Arabidopsis thaliana: one gene and its partner. The protein of the gene in region 1 interacts with the protein of each later gene in a biochemical or structural test. Each region holds a gene or a part of one and is shown on either strand. Other genes may lie near its edges.

Region 1 (7,627 bases):
TGGATCGCCTAACTTTAACAATACAACATTTATATTATCCATTTTCTACAAACCAATGAACTATCGACTCATGTCTTGTTCCCTCTCACAAGCCCATGTTTCGCCCAAGGAAGCATTAGTCAAACTTCAAATCCCAACTTAAACTAAAGTAATTAACTAAATTAGTTATTTTCAAATACTTTAATTATGATAATTAAGAATAGTTTTAGAAGATGCTTACCATTTTCTCTTCCCCACTGATATACCACCACGTGCGCATTTTGGAATTGCTAGTACGTGTGACGTGTCCATGAGAAGGTTGGCATTGCCAATACGATTAAAACTCTTGCCGTTTCAAAGAAAAATCGACACGTGTGTTTCGGGCTCACCAAAACTAAGATATTTTTATGGAATTTGTTTTAATATTTCCTGAAAAGGAAAGGACTGCTAAAACAAAAAAGAAAGGATTAGCTTTAGAATGATTGATTTGATTTCATTAATAGCCAATATTACAAAATATCCCAATGAGAGTCCAACTATTGATTGCTTTAAGAAGGGAACTCAGTCTAAAAGTCACATGATTAATAGTTTAATACACTAATACACATTTTCAATGAAATTATGATTGTGTTATATGACTATAATCTATCACCAAACGTTATATTCTTTCCCGTTTATAAAGAATTCTCTCTTTTGTATATATACTTCATATCTACTTGTCTTGTCTTGTGATATATATTTCATATCTATATAGTTTCAAAACATTTAGGCATTGAAATTTTATCAAAAAAAAAAAAATATCACAAAAGTACTGATAACACATTGGTAAATTATTGTAAATTTGTAATACAGGTTATCCAATTATTCTCAGGTCCGTTGAATTCTAAAAAAAATTGTGCGGAAAAATAAGAGATATATTTTCTTCAAAATCTCTTTTTAGATTTTCTCTACTATAAAAAGGTGACAAAAACACAAAAACACAAAAACGAATGACACCTATTTACAAGAATCTGCTTGTGAATAAAAACACAAAACGAACGACGACTAAGTGCTTTTTAAGTTAAAATTGAGCTAGTCTTTTTCCTAAGAGAAACGACCAAATATCAGAAACAAAACCGAAGTAGGATTCTACTTGTGAAAAAGATAACTAAAGCGATGAAAAAGTCAAAAGTAAAACAAAACTCAACATCAAAAAGAATAGAGTAGTATATATGCTTCATGAGCCGCCCCATCCTAGCATGAGGAAGATCGAGAACCTCTTCGTCCAATTCATAAGCGTATAAGTGCTTGATATTGAAGACATTCGTGGTGTGAATATGTGGAGAAGCTTCAAACGGTATGCATTGAAATTTAATTTCTCAACGACCTCTAGCATACCAATTTTCTAGCTAGGCCTTAATCTTATTGTACTCTTGAGCCAGAAAACGGTCTTTGGGTAAGACAATACACCCTAACCTATTACGGACACTAAATTGAACATCATGCCAATGTTTCTTTACATTTTATTTGTACTTGACCGAAGTCATTACTAAAGTGCCATGAGATCGATTGTGTACACGAAGCAACTCATCCTTAAAATCCACCACACTACCATGAAAACAATATGGGTATAGAAGTAAGGCAAAATCATTCGAACAACAAGAGATGAAACCATAAATTATATGTAACAGACAGAACCTGAGCTTCCATTGATTGTGTGATTGCTTGCAATTTCAACAAATCATATTGCCTAATGCCTGATTCGCGACTTATTTATATGGATAATACACATAGTTACTCATGTATACAACATCTTCTATAAAGATTTTAAAAATATTTCCAGTTACATGATAACATGAAAAATGATTAGTTCTATGGTTACATATTGTCATTCTTTTGAATGTATGCATCTAACCTTCTAGAGTCATTGTGCTCCATTATTGTATCTCTATTAACGGTTACCATCAAAATTTTTGCATGTCATTTTACCTTGTAAATTTATTACAAGAATAATAAAAACCCCGATTACAATTCGAAAGAAAGTAAATCCGACGACCCGAGTAATTGATAAAAATTTAACCCAAAAATAAAATCGATGGTGCCACACGCTATGTCTTGAAATGGTTTTATTAAGGTTTTCTTGAAATGGATCTTGAAAATCTTCCAAGAATTGTTAAATATGTCATGCTATATCATATATGTCATGATCAATAAATAAATAGTGATAACTGATAAGTGACTACTTTTGAATGTATGCATCTAACCTTCTAGAGTCTTACATTCTCTTTGGTGCTATAAATTTTATTTCTCTTTTGCAACTTGTCAAACTTATATATCTTGCTCGTTTTAAGTCTAGAAAATCAGATTTTTTTTTTTAATTTGAAAAAAAGAGTATGAAAAACGTAATTATTACTTCACCTTTCAATAACGATCCAAATTTCATTCCAGCCATATACATACGATTTTTTATATATTTTTATAAATCAAACGAAATGACGCTAAGAAAAAATAGAGTGCACATGTTGTAGCAATGCAAATGACAACCTCGTATGAACAAAACACGTGATTCGATCATGAAAAGAAAATACTTGACATATAATATGGCGAAGGTAAGTAAAGTTGTTCAAAATGTCTTCAAAGTCTAACTGAATTTCATCATCAACATCCTCATCATTCATCATCATTACCACCTTCACATGGAAATCGATTTTCTATCCAAACTTTCATTGAATTTTTAATATATAGTTTTAGATATTAGTATTATAAACGAAAAAAAAAAAAGATATTAATATTATAATTTCTTATAACGGTAGACACTGGAATAAGACAAGAGGACCAGTTGCTTTAATAATATAAAAATATACTTTACAAGGTTCATGCATGCATACATTGTTTTCACGAGATGGATAACATTTGTTAAACAAATAAAACAAATTATATGTAACCATGTGAACTTTTTTCTTTCTAATACTTATCCTAAATAACAACACCAATAATAGTGACCCGTACCGTAAGAATAGTAAATGTAAAAAAAGTCATTCTTTTTGTTAAAAAGAAAGACCAGTAAAAAGTCATTCTCTTCAAACCATTCACACTGAATTATTATATTTACAATCCCATTATATTAGTAACCTTACGTATTAGTACCAAATTTATAACTCGAAACTACTATAAATGAATAATCACATAGTTTCAATTATGAATTGTTATCAAATCAATAATCACAGTTTACTAAACAGGTAAAATCTAACCGTTGATAATGAGATAAAGAATGGACAAAAACATCACGATTTAATGTGATAAGAACAATCTTATCACATAAACAAAAAAAGGGACAGGGAGTTACAGGTGAAGTGTTCCTGGTCAAATTGAAACTTGGAAATAATAAAGTTCTTGAAATAGAAAGGTTTATTTTTAATTGAAAACGATATTTGAGAATCACACATCTTAAGTTGCCTAACAATCTACGCATCTTCTTCTTTTCTCTATCCTATTAAGAAAACTAAAAATAGCATTTTCTGATTTAAAATATGATTTGATAGTTGTATTAGATTTAAACGCGAAACCTCATGTATATACATAATAATATATTTATTAGAAGTAAGATAACAGATTTTCTTTTTCTTTATAGTAGGTAAAACTCTTGAATTTCAATACAAATAATTGTTCTAAAGAAGAACTTGATACGAAAAAATTGACCAATTATTGGTCAATATATTAAAAAGAATAAATTATTTTAGTGTTCTTATTTCTCAAATGAAAACTAGTATATAGAGAGGAGCTTCGTTGCTCAAACACTTTCCTCTCTCTTAAAAACCTCAACTTTCTTCTCTCTTCTCAAAAACCCTTCCCTCTTCGTCTCCAAACAACAACAAACACAACAACAACAAAAATCTTACAAGAAGATCATTTTTAGAAACCCTATTAGGATAAAATGGATTACGAGGCATCAAGAATCGTCGAAATGGTAGAAGATGAAGAACATATAGATCTACCACCAGGATTCAGATTTCACCCTACTGATGAAGAACTCATAACTCACTACCTCAAACCAAAGGTTTTCAACACTTTCTTCTCTGCTACTGCCATTGGTGAAGTTGATCTCAACAAGATTGAGCCTTGGGACTTACCATGTAAGTTTCACACCTTATCTTTCTATTTCCTCAAGTCTTTTGTTTGTCTTCTTTCTACCATTAAACTCATGGTTCTGAATTCTGATACATGGCTGGTTTTGTTGGAACAGGGAAGGCTAAGATGGGAGAAAAAGAATGGTATTTCTTCTGTGTGAGAGACCGGAAATACCCGACCGGTTTAAGGACAAACCGGGCGACAGAAGCCGGTTATTGGAAAGCCACAGGAAAAGACAAAGAGATATTCAAGGGAAAATCACTTGTGGGTATGAAGAAAACTTTGGTTTTCTATAAAGGAAGAGCTCCTAAAGGAGTTAAAACCAATTGGGTTATGCATGAATATCGTTTAGAAGGCAAATATTGTATTGAAAATCTTCCCCAAACAGCTAAGGTAATAACATTAAGAGATTTTGTGTGTTTCTGTCTTTTGTTTTTTTTGGGGACTTGAAATTAATTCTTTTGTTTGGTTGTTTGTGAATGTAGAACGAATGGGTTATATGTCGTGTTTTCCAAAAACGTGCCGATGGTACAAAGGTTCCAATGTCAATGCTTGATCCACACATTAACCGAATGGAACCAGCCGGTTTACCTTCGTTAATGGATTGTTCTCAACGAGACTCCTTCACCGGTTCGTCGTCTCACGTGACCTGCTTCTCCGACCAAGAAACCGAAGACAAAAGACTTGTCCACGAGTCCAAAGACGGTTTTGGTTCTCTGTTTTACTCGGATCCTCTGTTTTTACAAGACAATTATTCGCTAATGAAGCTGTTGCTTGACGGTCAAGAAACTCAATTCTCCGGCAAACCTTTCGACGGTCGTGATTCGTCCGGTACAGAAGAATTGGATTGCGTTTGGAATTTCTGAGTTGTATAAGTTATGTTGTAGACTTGTAGTAGTCATGTGTTCGTGTGTGTGAATGAATATTCTTGTTACATTTTTTTGTAAAAAAGGAGAAAAAAATATGCTAGAAAGTCAATTGCTTTTGTTATGTAGCATTAGTGTTTTTTATGTACTCAATAGACTTCCTAATTAAATAAAAATCTTAATTTATTTGCCATGTACAATGCTAAAGTCAAGTTAACACATTTAAATAAAATTTTATTTTTAAAACACACAAAGAAGGTAAGAAAATATAATATGAAAATTTTAAAACACATACATAATTATTTTATATTGGTGTGAAGTTTTTGTTTTTATAAATTTGAAACTAGAGTAGTTAGAAGCCAAATTTGTTTACTGTTCTTCTCAATGACGAAATTTTACATGACATATGTTAGGCCACCAACCAAAGAGTTGATATTATGACTTATGAGTATTTAACAAAGTTTCATAGATATTTATCATTATTATATTGTTATGTCAAACTTAACATGTTTAGGTGATCATCTTGTTTTCATACTACCTAAATGTTTTCCCAATTTCTAATTTGGACATTTTCGTTTAGCAAAATGATAATGTTCCCAACGTAACCCTAAGATCGATAACATGTTTTTGGAAAAAAAAAAAGAAAGAGAGAGCTTACAACTACATCAAAATGAAACATGAACATGTGTGATATATATAAATAAGTAAATAACATGTGTGAATTAATTTTGCAACGCCGCCAGTAACTCAATTACATGCACAATACGCAACTTTATACCAACTTCCTCATCGGATAATATTATTACGTCTCCAAATCTTCTTGCGTTCCTCTGGCCATTGATAACATATGTTTAAAAATAAAATTGCATATGGCTTATAAATACTTTGAGATGATCATAGTCTTAGTTCATGTTTCTCTTCAAGTTTGTTATTTACTAAACAAACAATAAACATGATCGATAGTATAACATTTTACGTTTTCATATTTTTAAAAAGTAATTCTACTATATATACAGGCGTCTTAAAATTATTAAAAATCAAAAATACAACATCATTAATCTGCTGTACTATTTATTTTACATTATGTGACTATTTTTCAAAAACTTTATTCATTTTAGTTCATTCTGCTATCAATTATTTTTTTCTTTCGCTATTATTCAGTTTAATTGACATACCAGTCAGATTTAGTATTATTAAACCGATATATATATATATATATATATATATATATTTTTAATATATAAAAAAGATAGCTAGTAAAGAAAATAATAATCAGAAATTAGCTATCATATAAAAATTAATAAAAATGTTTATACATTTGATACAACTTGGTACATCATTTTTAATCTGAACATATCCTTCAATATTTTTCTACCAAAAAATATTGTGTTTTTAAACTATCTTATTCTAGTATCCTCTATAAACGTTTCTAAAAAAAAACTAAAAATTTGTTTAAGTTTTCAAATTCTAAAAATTACAGATTTTCATTTCAATAGTCATATAGGCGGCCTAAATCCAATAATTGAACTATTGAAGTCACTAGTAATGAATTTGAATTTATGTATATCACTTGTATGAGTGAATTTTCTTGTCTTTGATATTGATTGTCAATTTTTATTTGTTTTTTTCTTCTAAATTTAAATTATTGTTGAACCAAGGATTCACACAATAGATTTGTTTAGAGAGGGAAAACAAATCTAATAATTTTTCTTCATTAGGTATTCTATCCAAGACTCGATAATAAAAGAGGTTCTAATCTCTTCTGAAATACATTAGGGTTTGCTCAAGAACAGAAAAAGAATTAGGGTTTTAAAAAGGTATAGCTGCATCCATAATGGATTGCCTACGTACCCTGTGAAGGGATCAAGCCATTCGTAGTTCTCAATATGTATAAAGTTATGCGTTTCTTGTGAGTATCCAAAGATCCCCCCTTTGTGAAGTCCCTAAGGCACTTTATATAGGATCCTTAAACCGCCTCCCTACCGATATTCTTCGGAAGATTCTTATTTATCCTTAGGTCGATTCTAGAGGATAATCGTCCTAAGGATATTCTCCTTATTCTTCGGAGGTTTTGGGGAGATTTCCTGATTTCGACATTATCTTCAAAGATTCTCCTTTATCATTTCCGAAAGTCCCATAAAAGATCCTATTTTACCGGAAAAGATCCTTGGAGAATGAATGGTTTTTACAAGTCTTTGCCTCGCGTGTTTTTCACGGCTCGGTGGTCGTTTGAGAGGTGGCTTCGGGGCAAACGGTATGTACCGGCTCGGGGCGCGCTTGATGACTCCATTAAGCTCAGTTGGCTGTCTCCCGAGCCGATATAGATGTTTCCCGCAGCGTTCTCACGATTGGCTCGGGCTGTGTTCATATGATTAACACCCGAGCCATTTTACAAACTCTCTTCGGGACGGTCGATCGAATAAGGTCCCGAGGTGCTTTGTTCTAGGCTAGGGGCCATTTATATGTTTAACTATGAGGTGATTGTTATTCTTAGACTGTTTGGCTCGGTCTTGCTTGTGGGGGAATCCGACCCCAACAACTATCAAATCCAAAAGTAAGGGTCCGATTGGTGACCATTATTTAGAGAAGGAATGGGGAGGAACAACATGTTCCTCTTTTTTTTCACCAATCACTAGTAATATTTTTTTCCAAATTGTAACATGTAGACCTCACAA
Region 2 (8,594 bases), 1.9 Mb from region 1:
GAACTTATGTAAGATTTCAGAAATAAAATAATTAAATAATAACTAAATAAATATATAAATATATAAAAAAATTCGTAGAACTTGGAAAACTTATCAGAAAATTGTATAAAAAACATGTAAGTTCAATAATGATAATAAATTGAATTTCTAGTGTAAATTATCATGCTGGCGTTGCAGTAATAATATTTGTGAAATAGATTACGTAAAGAAGTGGATATAAAATTATCAGTAGTAATAAAAATTTAGTGAGGTTTGTCTTAAGCAATTCTAACAAACAATATAAACAGAATTCAGTAAATTAAGAAAGCACGATAACATCTTTTGGTTTGTTGGCTATAATAATTGGTGTAGCTAAACCTAATTACCAAGTCATCACTAAAATGAGAACTAATTTGGTTAAAGTGAGTAAGTTAAGATATTTTTCTCAACTTTCTCCTATATATGTGGACTTGTTTAACAAGAGAATTTTGATTTATTAATTGGATCGACAAGGCCAATCTATAAACAAAAACCCAAAATACGGACTAATGCAACTATCTATATGGAATCGAATTTCGGTGGATATTAAACCACTTGACTAAAAAATTTCTCTATTCGACATATATATTTGTTCATCGAGTTATTAGTTTTACAATCACACAGTAACAATAAAGAGATCCATTATTGGTTGCTTGTATACCAAACTCATAGTATACCAAACTCGTCTAAAAGATTTGGGAAAGCTACCGCTCATAAGAAACTATGGTAAGTTGGTATTGAACACAACTTATCTCACATTTCTTACAATCTATCCTTTTTAAAAGGATATTACTCAGCATAATTCGTCTCATATTTCTAATAATTCATTTTTCTTAAAAGGATATTGACATAACTCACATTAATGTTTCATTTACTTTTTACGGCTTACTGCCCTGCAAGCCCAAGCTTCCTTGTGGCCCCTCAAGCCCAAGCTAGTTTGGGCTCATGGCCAAATTTATATTTTATTAATAATGGAAGTCATGAATAATAATCTGTATTAGCGATTCCTGAAGAATTAAGATATGTCAGCTCTCTGTTTTCAAATTAGTTAAACAAACAAATTTTAATATGAGGTGAATAATCTTCTCATGTCTCTCGTTTTCCAGGGAAAGTCGTATAGGATCCATGCATCTTCCTACAACAAAATATTAAACCCCAAGCCTAATCACATTCAAACGTTTAAGGCCAAAACATCTATTACCCGAAGTAATATTTATCTAAACGATGGAAAATACATTTTTTCACTCAAAAGAGATGGGTTTGTTATTAATATATGCCTTTAAGCACTTTACATACCAAAAATATTCAATTGAAATAATCTCATTTATCCGGTTTTGTAATCTTATTATTATAATTTATGATTTTTGTACCACCAAATATTGTGGCATACCTATATATGATCTCATTCCTCTTTATTTTGAAGTGCCTAGAACACTAGTCTTCTTCTTTTCATGGTTACGAAAATGTTTACAGAAAATCATGGATGATTCAAGAAAATAGACCACTTTTTGAGATACTTTTCCGTAAACCCTAAGTATATCCATAATATCTCTACATTGACCAATGACAAATAGTAGTTTAGATATTGATGGACTTATGGGAGCTAGTTTTTATTATTAACTAGATTTTAACCCGCGGTATACCGCGGGACGATTTATTTTTAAAAGTAATATATATTAAAACTTGCAAATTTTATTTTTACAAAATATTTATATTTTACAGTTTATAATTGTTATTAAGTAACGCTATACCACGAATTCATGAGACAATTGTTAAAAAAACTGAAGTTTTGACCCCTATTAAAACAGCATATTAATAATATTTTAAAATTTTATAAATATTGATTCAAATACATCCACCATATAACCCAATTCCAAAATAAAACACGTTCTGTAATTTCTTTACCCGTCCCATGATTATTTTTTTAAGTAGTAATTTTTAAAATTTTAGAATTATTTTTATATATAAAAGTTTTGCAAATTGTATCATTCTCTAATACATTTATATTTTATAGTTTAAATTAAATTAATTAAAATTTAGATATCAAATCTTATAAGTTGATTTTGATTGGCTATTATTTTTAAAAATTAATAATGTATTTCGTTTTTAATTAATTAAATTAATTAAATTAGTATTTGACTTTTTAATCCTTAAAGAGATAAATTAATTTACTCTTTAAAATTTTATTTCTAATGGCATACCTATGTAATTACTTACAAAAATTAAGGTTACATTTAAAATGTACTTCCCAAATAATATAGTAGGATAAATTGTTTTATCTATGATTTATGAATATCCACATCAGTTCTGTAAAAAATAAAACTAAAAGAAAAACCAAGGAGAAAACAAATCGCCTTGTAAAAAACCGTTTTTGATAAATGTAACATTTAGGTTTTGTGTTAGTTAAGATCCGAAACAAGACAAATCTTATACACGCCATAATCCAGTATGTCGAAATCTACACCGTATTAATTATTGCTACTATGAACAACCATTCTATCCGATCATAGACTTTACTCTTATTTGTCGTTATTATCATAAAATGTCGTTTAAATAAATTATTTGTAGGATACCAATTCTTTAATTATATTAGTTCAAACACGTATAATTTTGGTGGTTTTTGAGGATGAATATCATCAAAGATAAATGCATTTTGGTGAAATAAATAATCAAATAATTATTTTAAATTATCTTTATGCACCACTATTTTTAATAAATTGGACTCTTACAACGTTTTCCTTAAAAAAAATCATGGATCTTAAAACTTATACCCAAACAAATATGTAGAAAATTATTATTATATATATAAATATATATATATATATATAAGCTATACAAAATCTTATTATATAGTAGTAGCGCTTGATTCTAAAATAGCATAATTAGACGAAAAAGCATGCATTTTGTAACATTTTATACTTTGTAAGTAAAACACATAAAAAATAATTTTATGAATAAGAAATCCACATAAAAAAAAAAAGAAGTAACATACTGTGAAAAATTAGGAAACTTTTTGAGGCACCAATTTTTTATGCCACTTTCAAAAAAGCATTAATGAAAATTTGTTTAAAATATCATTTTAAAATTTGACGTACAAAAGTACAAAACCTCATACAATTTCAAAACTTTACAAAGACTCAATAACATGTGTTATAGAGACTTTATAAACTTTCTTATAACATACTCTATAATTTTTTATATCCATATATTTGTGATATTTTTGAAAATGGATAAAATAAATTTGATATTTTTATAAATAGAAAATATTAATGGTATTTTTGAATTTTTCCCAAAATAATTATTAGTCTTATACTCCAAAATGTAAAAAAAAATCACTTTTTATTAAAAAAATACTTACGCATTTGCTTAATTGCTAGTCGTCAAAGTTTTGTCATTTTATGCAAATACTAAAAAAATGTAGAAAGCATTTCCTCTTTATTTTTGGGACAACCAAGAAAGGAGCATTTCAATAGTGTATACATAGACAAAAATATTTCTCATTTCCTATATTTGACTCTTTAAATCTTTAATAGCTCTTGTAATTTTTTCCATTCATTGTAATACAGCCATAATGTTTAAAAGGAAACTGTCAATTATAAACTTATACTAGAATATAAAATATGGTATTGAATTGAATATTTTCAAAAATAAAATATTAAATTTACGAAAAGAATAAAAAAACTTAAAAATCTCTCTCTCCTATCTCTCAACCACAACTTATTTTTCATGTCAGTATCCACCAACACATATATACGGCATATAAAAGATTTTAATAAAACCTTGGAACTATCTATATCTATTCAGACACACACGTCTATATATATATATACACTCATATACTACTTTCACTGTATCATTCTTGTTTTCTCTAAATTTTTCAAAAAACCTTTAGAATTTTCATTTTTTTACGATTCCGATGTTAACTGTTTCTCCGGCTCCAGTACTCATCGGAAACAACTCAAAGGATACTTACATGGCGGCAGATTTCGCAGATTTTACGACGGAAGACTTGCCGGACTTTACGACGGTCGGGGATTTTTCCGATGATCTTCTTGATGGAATCGATTACTACGACGATCTTTTCATTGGTTTCGATGGAGACGATGTTTTGCCGGATTTGGAGATAGATTCGGAGATTCTTGGGGAATATTCCGGTAGCGGAAGAGATGAGGAACAAGAAATGGAGGGTAACACTTCGACGGCATCGGAGACATCGGAGAGAGACGTTGGTGTGTGTAAGCAAGAGGGTGGTGGTGGTGGTGACGGTGGTTTTAGGGACAAAACGGTGCGTCGAGGCAAACGTAAAGGGAAGAAAAGTAAAGATTGTTTATCCGATGAGAACGATATTAAGAAAAAACCTAAGGTGTGTTTATTTCCCAATTATCCATGTTAGATTAGTTTATTTTTTTTCTTCTTTAAAGGTAAAAAATCCCATTAAGAAATCACCAACCTTTTTAAGGATTTCATTAAAAAAACATAAACTTCTAGTGTTTCTGAATATTTTTTTTACAAAGTTAGTGAATTAGTGTATTTATCATATACACAATTATTATTAAGTTTGATAACTGGAGTAGATCTAGGACCAAAACCAAGTTTTGTGTAGTAGGACTATACAAATTTGTGTGTTTATTTGGACTAAATATTTTTTTTTATAAAACTGTAAGACAATTTTCTATAAAAAAAATGAATTCCTTTTTTTTCTTTTCATTTATTGATTAATTAATATATTGTTCCGGCAAATCAGGTGGATTGGACGCCGGAGTTACACCGGAAATTTGTACAAGCGGTGGAGCAATTAGGGGTAGACAAGGCGGTGCCGTCTCGAATCTTGGAAATTATGAACGTTAAATCTCTCACTCGTCACAACGTTGCTAGCCATCTTCAGGTAAATTTTAGACTAAAACTATACAAACTAATTTTAACAGGAATTAATCAAGTGCTATAACCCCTAACATAGTAATTACCTAATTTATAGATTACATGTTTTTCCTTCAAAATTTTTTATGAAAAGACAAGTAAAATACTAACCAACTCAGATTTGTGTAATAAGATTAATTTGTGTTGTGTTCTTCTTGTAATGATAGAAATATAGGTCACATCGGAAACATCTACTAGCGCGTGAAGCAGAAGCTGCCAGCTGGAATCTCCGGAGACATGCCACGGTGGCAGTGCCCGGAGTAGGAGGAGGAGGGAAGAAGCCGTGGACAGCTCCTGCCTTAGGCTATCCTCCACACGTGGCACCAATGCATCATGGTCACTTCAGGCCTTTGCACGTATGGGGTCATCCTACGTGGCCAAAACACAAGCCTAATACTCCGGCGTCTGCTCATCGGACGTATCCAATGCCGGCCATTGCGGCGGCTCCGGCATCTTGGCCAGGTCATCCACCGTACTGGCATCAGCAACCACTCTATCCACAGGTAATAATAATTCATTTGTAAAAATGTTACATGTTTTTCCATTATTAGTTGTATGGTTAAATCATGAAAAATAATCGAAATGACATAACTAAATCAGCTTTGTTGAACAATCATGACACTGCAAAAAGCTAGTCTTTGTACACTATTGGCTTTTTAACACATGCAACATATATAAGTATAAAACGGAATCATTGAATTAGATTGTGGTTTTGTCTAACAACGCAATTAGTAAAAGATTGCAAGATCATGAATCATTTTTATGTAGACAACTAATAAAGATTTAGAGCTATGAATTATGTATGGATTTTACAAAAACATATTTCTAATCATGGTTTATGTGTATATATGTGTAGGGATATGGTATGGCATCATCGAATCATTCAAGCATCGGTGTTCCCACAAGACAATTAGGACCCACTAATCCTCCCATCGACATTCATCCCGTGAGTGCACCTTTTTTGGTTTCAATTTTGTTTATTAGATTTTGATTATGACATAACCCAAAAAAGTTTTCGAATAAATTTTGGATAATTAACAATATTTCATTACTTGACGGTTGCAGTCGAATGAGAGCATAGATGCAGCTATTGGGGACGTTATATCAAAGCCGTGGCTGCCGCTTCCTTTGGGACTGAAACCGCCGTCGGTTGACGGTGTTATGACGGAGTTACAACGTCAAGGAGTTTCTAATGTTCCTCCTCTTCCTTGAGAAAGATCTCCAAAATTTGTCGAAATCTCAAACTTTTAACTTCATTTTTTTGGTATCTTCTATGTATTTTTGCAAGGGAAAGACGATAAATCCTTGTTGCTTGATCATATGTATTTCTCTATATGAGTGCATGTATCGAAGTTAAGCAACTTTAATATATCGTTATAATCTTCGATAGCAGAATCTGTAATTTTTATTAACTTTCAACTCCCGAAGCATCATTGCAAAATGACTAAATGCAACACTTTTTGGGGTTAAAAATGCTTAACATTTTAAAACATTACTATCATTTATTCAATCAACAATTTATAGTTTTATACAATTGAAAACTAGACGGGATATATATCGCATGTGTTTTTTCAATGGCTTATTTTGTTTTATAATGCCAACTTTCACAGCTATGGATTGTGACTATTTATAATTTCAAAGAAGTCAAATATTTTTAAAACTCAATTAAAGTCCATAAAAAAATTTGCAATTGATAATGTTAACATATCGTGGCAAAAAAAAAAAAAAAGTACAACACATAATTGGAGTTTAGATATACGAATATTCTTTTAATTGGTTCCATGTAAAAAACTTAATTCAAACGGATTCGATTGGTGACACAAAATGGTAAAAACAAAAAAGCGGAAAAAGTTTTAAAAATACTAGAATAGTTGAAAGAAGTAAAAAAAATACAGGTACAAAAAATACAATAGTACAAAAAAATACTAGAATAGTTGTAGATATACTTTTGTGTTTAGTAAACTATTAAAGCATTAAATATTGTACCATGCGATAGAGATTACCAATCAAAAGCCAAAGTGATGATGCAGAATAAGTTAATAACAATTACTTTGGGGTAAGAAGTTTAAATTACTCTTGAATGTAGAAGGCATGAAAGTGGCATGTTTGATGGATTGTGTTTGTCGAGCATTGTGCAGACGCAGCTCAATAACGTTAATTTATATACATTCAACTCTTGAAAGACATTGAAGCTGTATCTTTGGCTTTGACACACTAGCAGCTCTCGATGGAGTTATGCGTGATCTAGTTAGTTACTATATCTCATTCTCCATCAGATAAATGTAAGTTCGTATAATACTTTTTCGGAAGCTTCTAATGCATAAAGGAGCTGTATTTGGACAAATACTTTGAGAAATGTAAGAAGCGTACAATGTGATGAGAAAGAATGATACAAAGTGATTAGTGAGTACTATGGAGGGCCTTCACTCGGCTACTTTAGCCCAATAGACTAGTAATGACATATCAGTTGATCAAGGAGCAAAAGTTAATGAGGACACTGATATTGAACGAAACCACTTAAGAAAGGTTGTAATGAAAATCTAGAAAACCCAAACTGAGTTCAGACTCATCAATCTAAAGATTACATTGACCATTCAGCAACATTGACAACTTCTAAAGTTTTGTTTTAAGATCTTCTCTTCCGATCATCTTCACCATCGTCATCGGAGTCACCGCTCTCACGGAATCGTGGGTTCTTCTCCTGTTACAATCACACAAAATTCCATAGCAGACAGTGTTTTAGCATCAGATACTAAATATACTCGAAACGTTTAGTAAGGAAAAAGAAAAAGGCCTTGTTATTTACCGGTCTCATGTCACTATCAGTGTCTCTCCTAGACTCATGATCTGTGTTTCTTCTTGAGTTATCGCGGCCATAGCGATCATCGTCTCTTTGTCGTTTCCGATGGTAGTCTGCAAAAACATTAAAAACAGTGAATTGTGCTATTGTGGCTGAGGATTACACTATTACTACGCATTATGTCATTTGGGATAAAAATACCTCCTCTTCCATGGCGATTTTGTCCTCCTTGACCATAGTTTCCACCACCACGCCTTCCATTTCCATCTGTGATTAACATATGCAAAAAGCATTTAGGAATCTAGTGTTTTGCAGGCTCTATTTACGGATTCTCACATAATTTGACTTGAATAAGATACTTAACACTAGGACCATATCTTGTTTCACATTTTCACTATCTATTCGAAAGGGAACTGGGAAAACAATAAGCAGATGCTTTGCAAGATAAAGAGTCTTATTCTGAGCACTACAATTCTAAGTAAAGCAACTTAAGACTCGCATTCATGGTACTTTTAGTTCACCATTTGTCCACAGTATAGTGCGAAATCATGAAACCAGGAATAAGATCAAGTAAATTTGGTAGAAAGTTGAAAAAAACATACAATTCGTTGGCGCAGCTTGAGGATAAGCTCCCAATGAGCCAGTACCGTAATCCACGAGCTGCCTTTGTGCTTCGAGTTCCTTCTGAACTAATTTCCCATAACCACCTCTAGGTAATCAATGAGTTAAGGAAAAAACACATGGATTGGCGGGAAATTCATAACCGAGAAATCAATCTTTCCTACCACAAAACAGGTATACTAAACAAGAACAACAGAGTGCATAACTATGCGGACTAAAAGGATATCAGGATCGTAAT

The links.
Region 2: the proteins of NAC6 (region 1) and GLK2 form a complex in vitro, tested with the Arabidopsis thaliana proteins (one study listed by BioGRID).

Annotation. Positions count from the first base shown.
Region 1 is NC_003076.8:15,855,916-15,863,542, reverse strand, and holds NAC6 (NAC domain containing protein 6), read left to right. Parts: upstream 1-3,631; 5' UTR 3,632-3,892; coding exon 3,893-4,091; intron 4,092-4,201; coding exon 4,202-4,479; intron 4,480-4,571; coding exon 4,572-4,952; 3' UTR 4,953-5,145; downstream 5,146-7,627. UniProt on the Arabidopsis thaliana protein: Transcription activator that binds to DNA in promoters of target genes on a specific bipartite motif 5'-[ACG][CA]GT[AG](5-6n)[CT]AC[AG]-3'. Promotes lateral root development.
Region 2 is NC_003076.8:17,794,501-17,803,094, forward strand, and holds GLK2 (GOLDEN2-like 2), read left to right. Parts: upstream 1-3,780; 5' UTR 3,781-3,934; coding exon 3,935-4,381; intron 4,382-4,762; coding exon 4,763-4,903; intron 4,904-5,102; coding exon 5,103-5,438; intron 5,439-5,791; coding exon 5,792-5,881; coding exon of another isoform or gene 5,882-5,926; exon of another isoform or gene 5,927-6,000; coding exon 6,001-6,147; 3' UTR 6,148-6,426; downstream 6,427-8,594. Other genes in the region: CBP20 (CAP-binding protein 20), read right to left, coding at 7,562-7,636, 7,742-7,848, 7,937-8,002, 8,338-8,448, 8,583-8,594.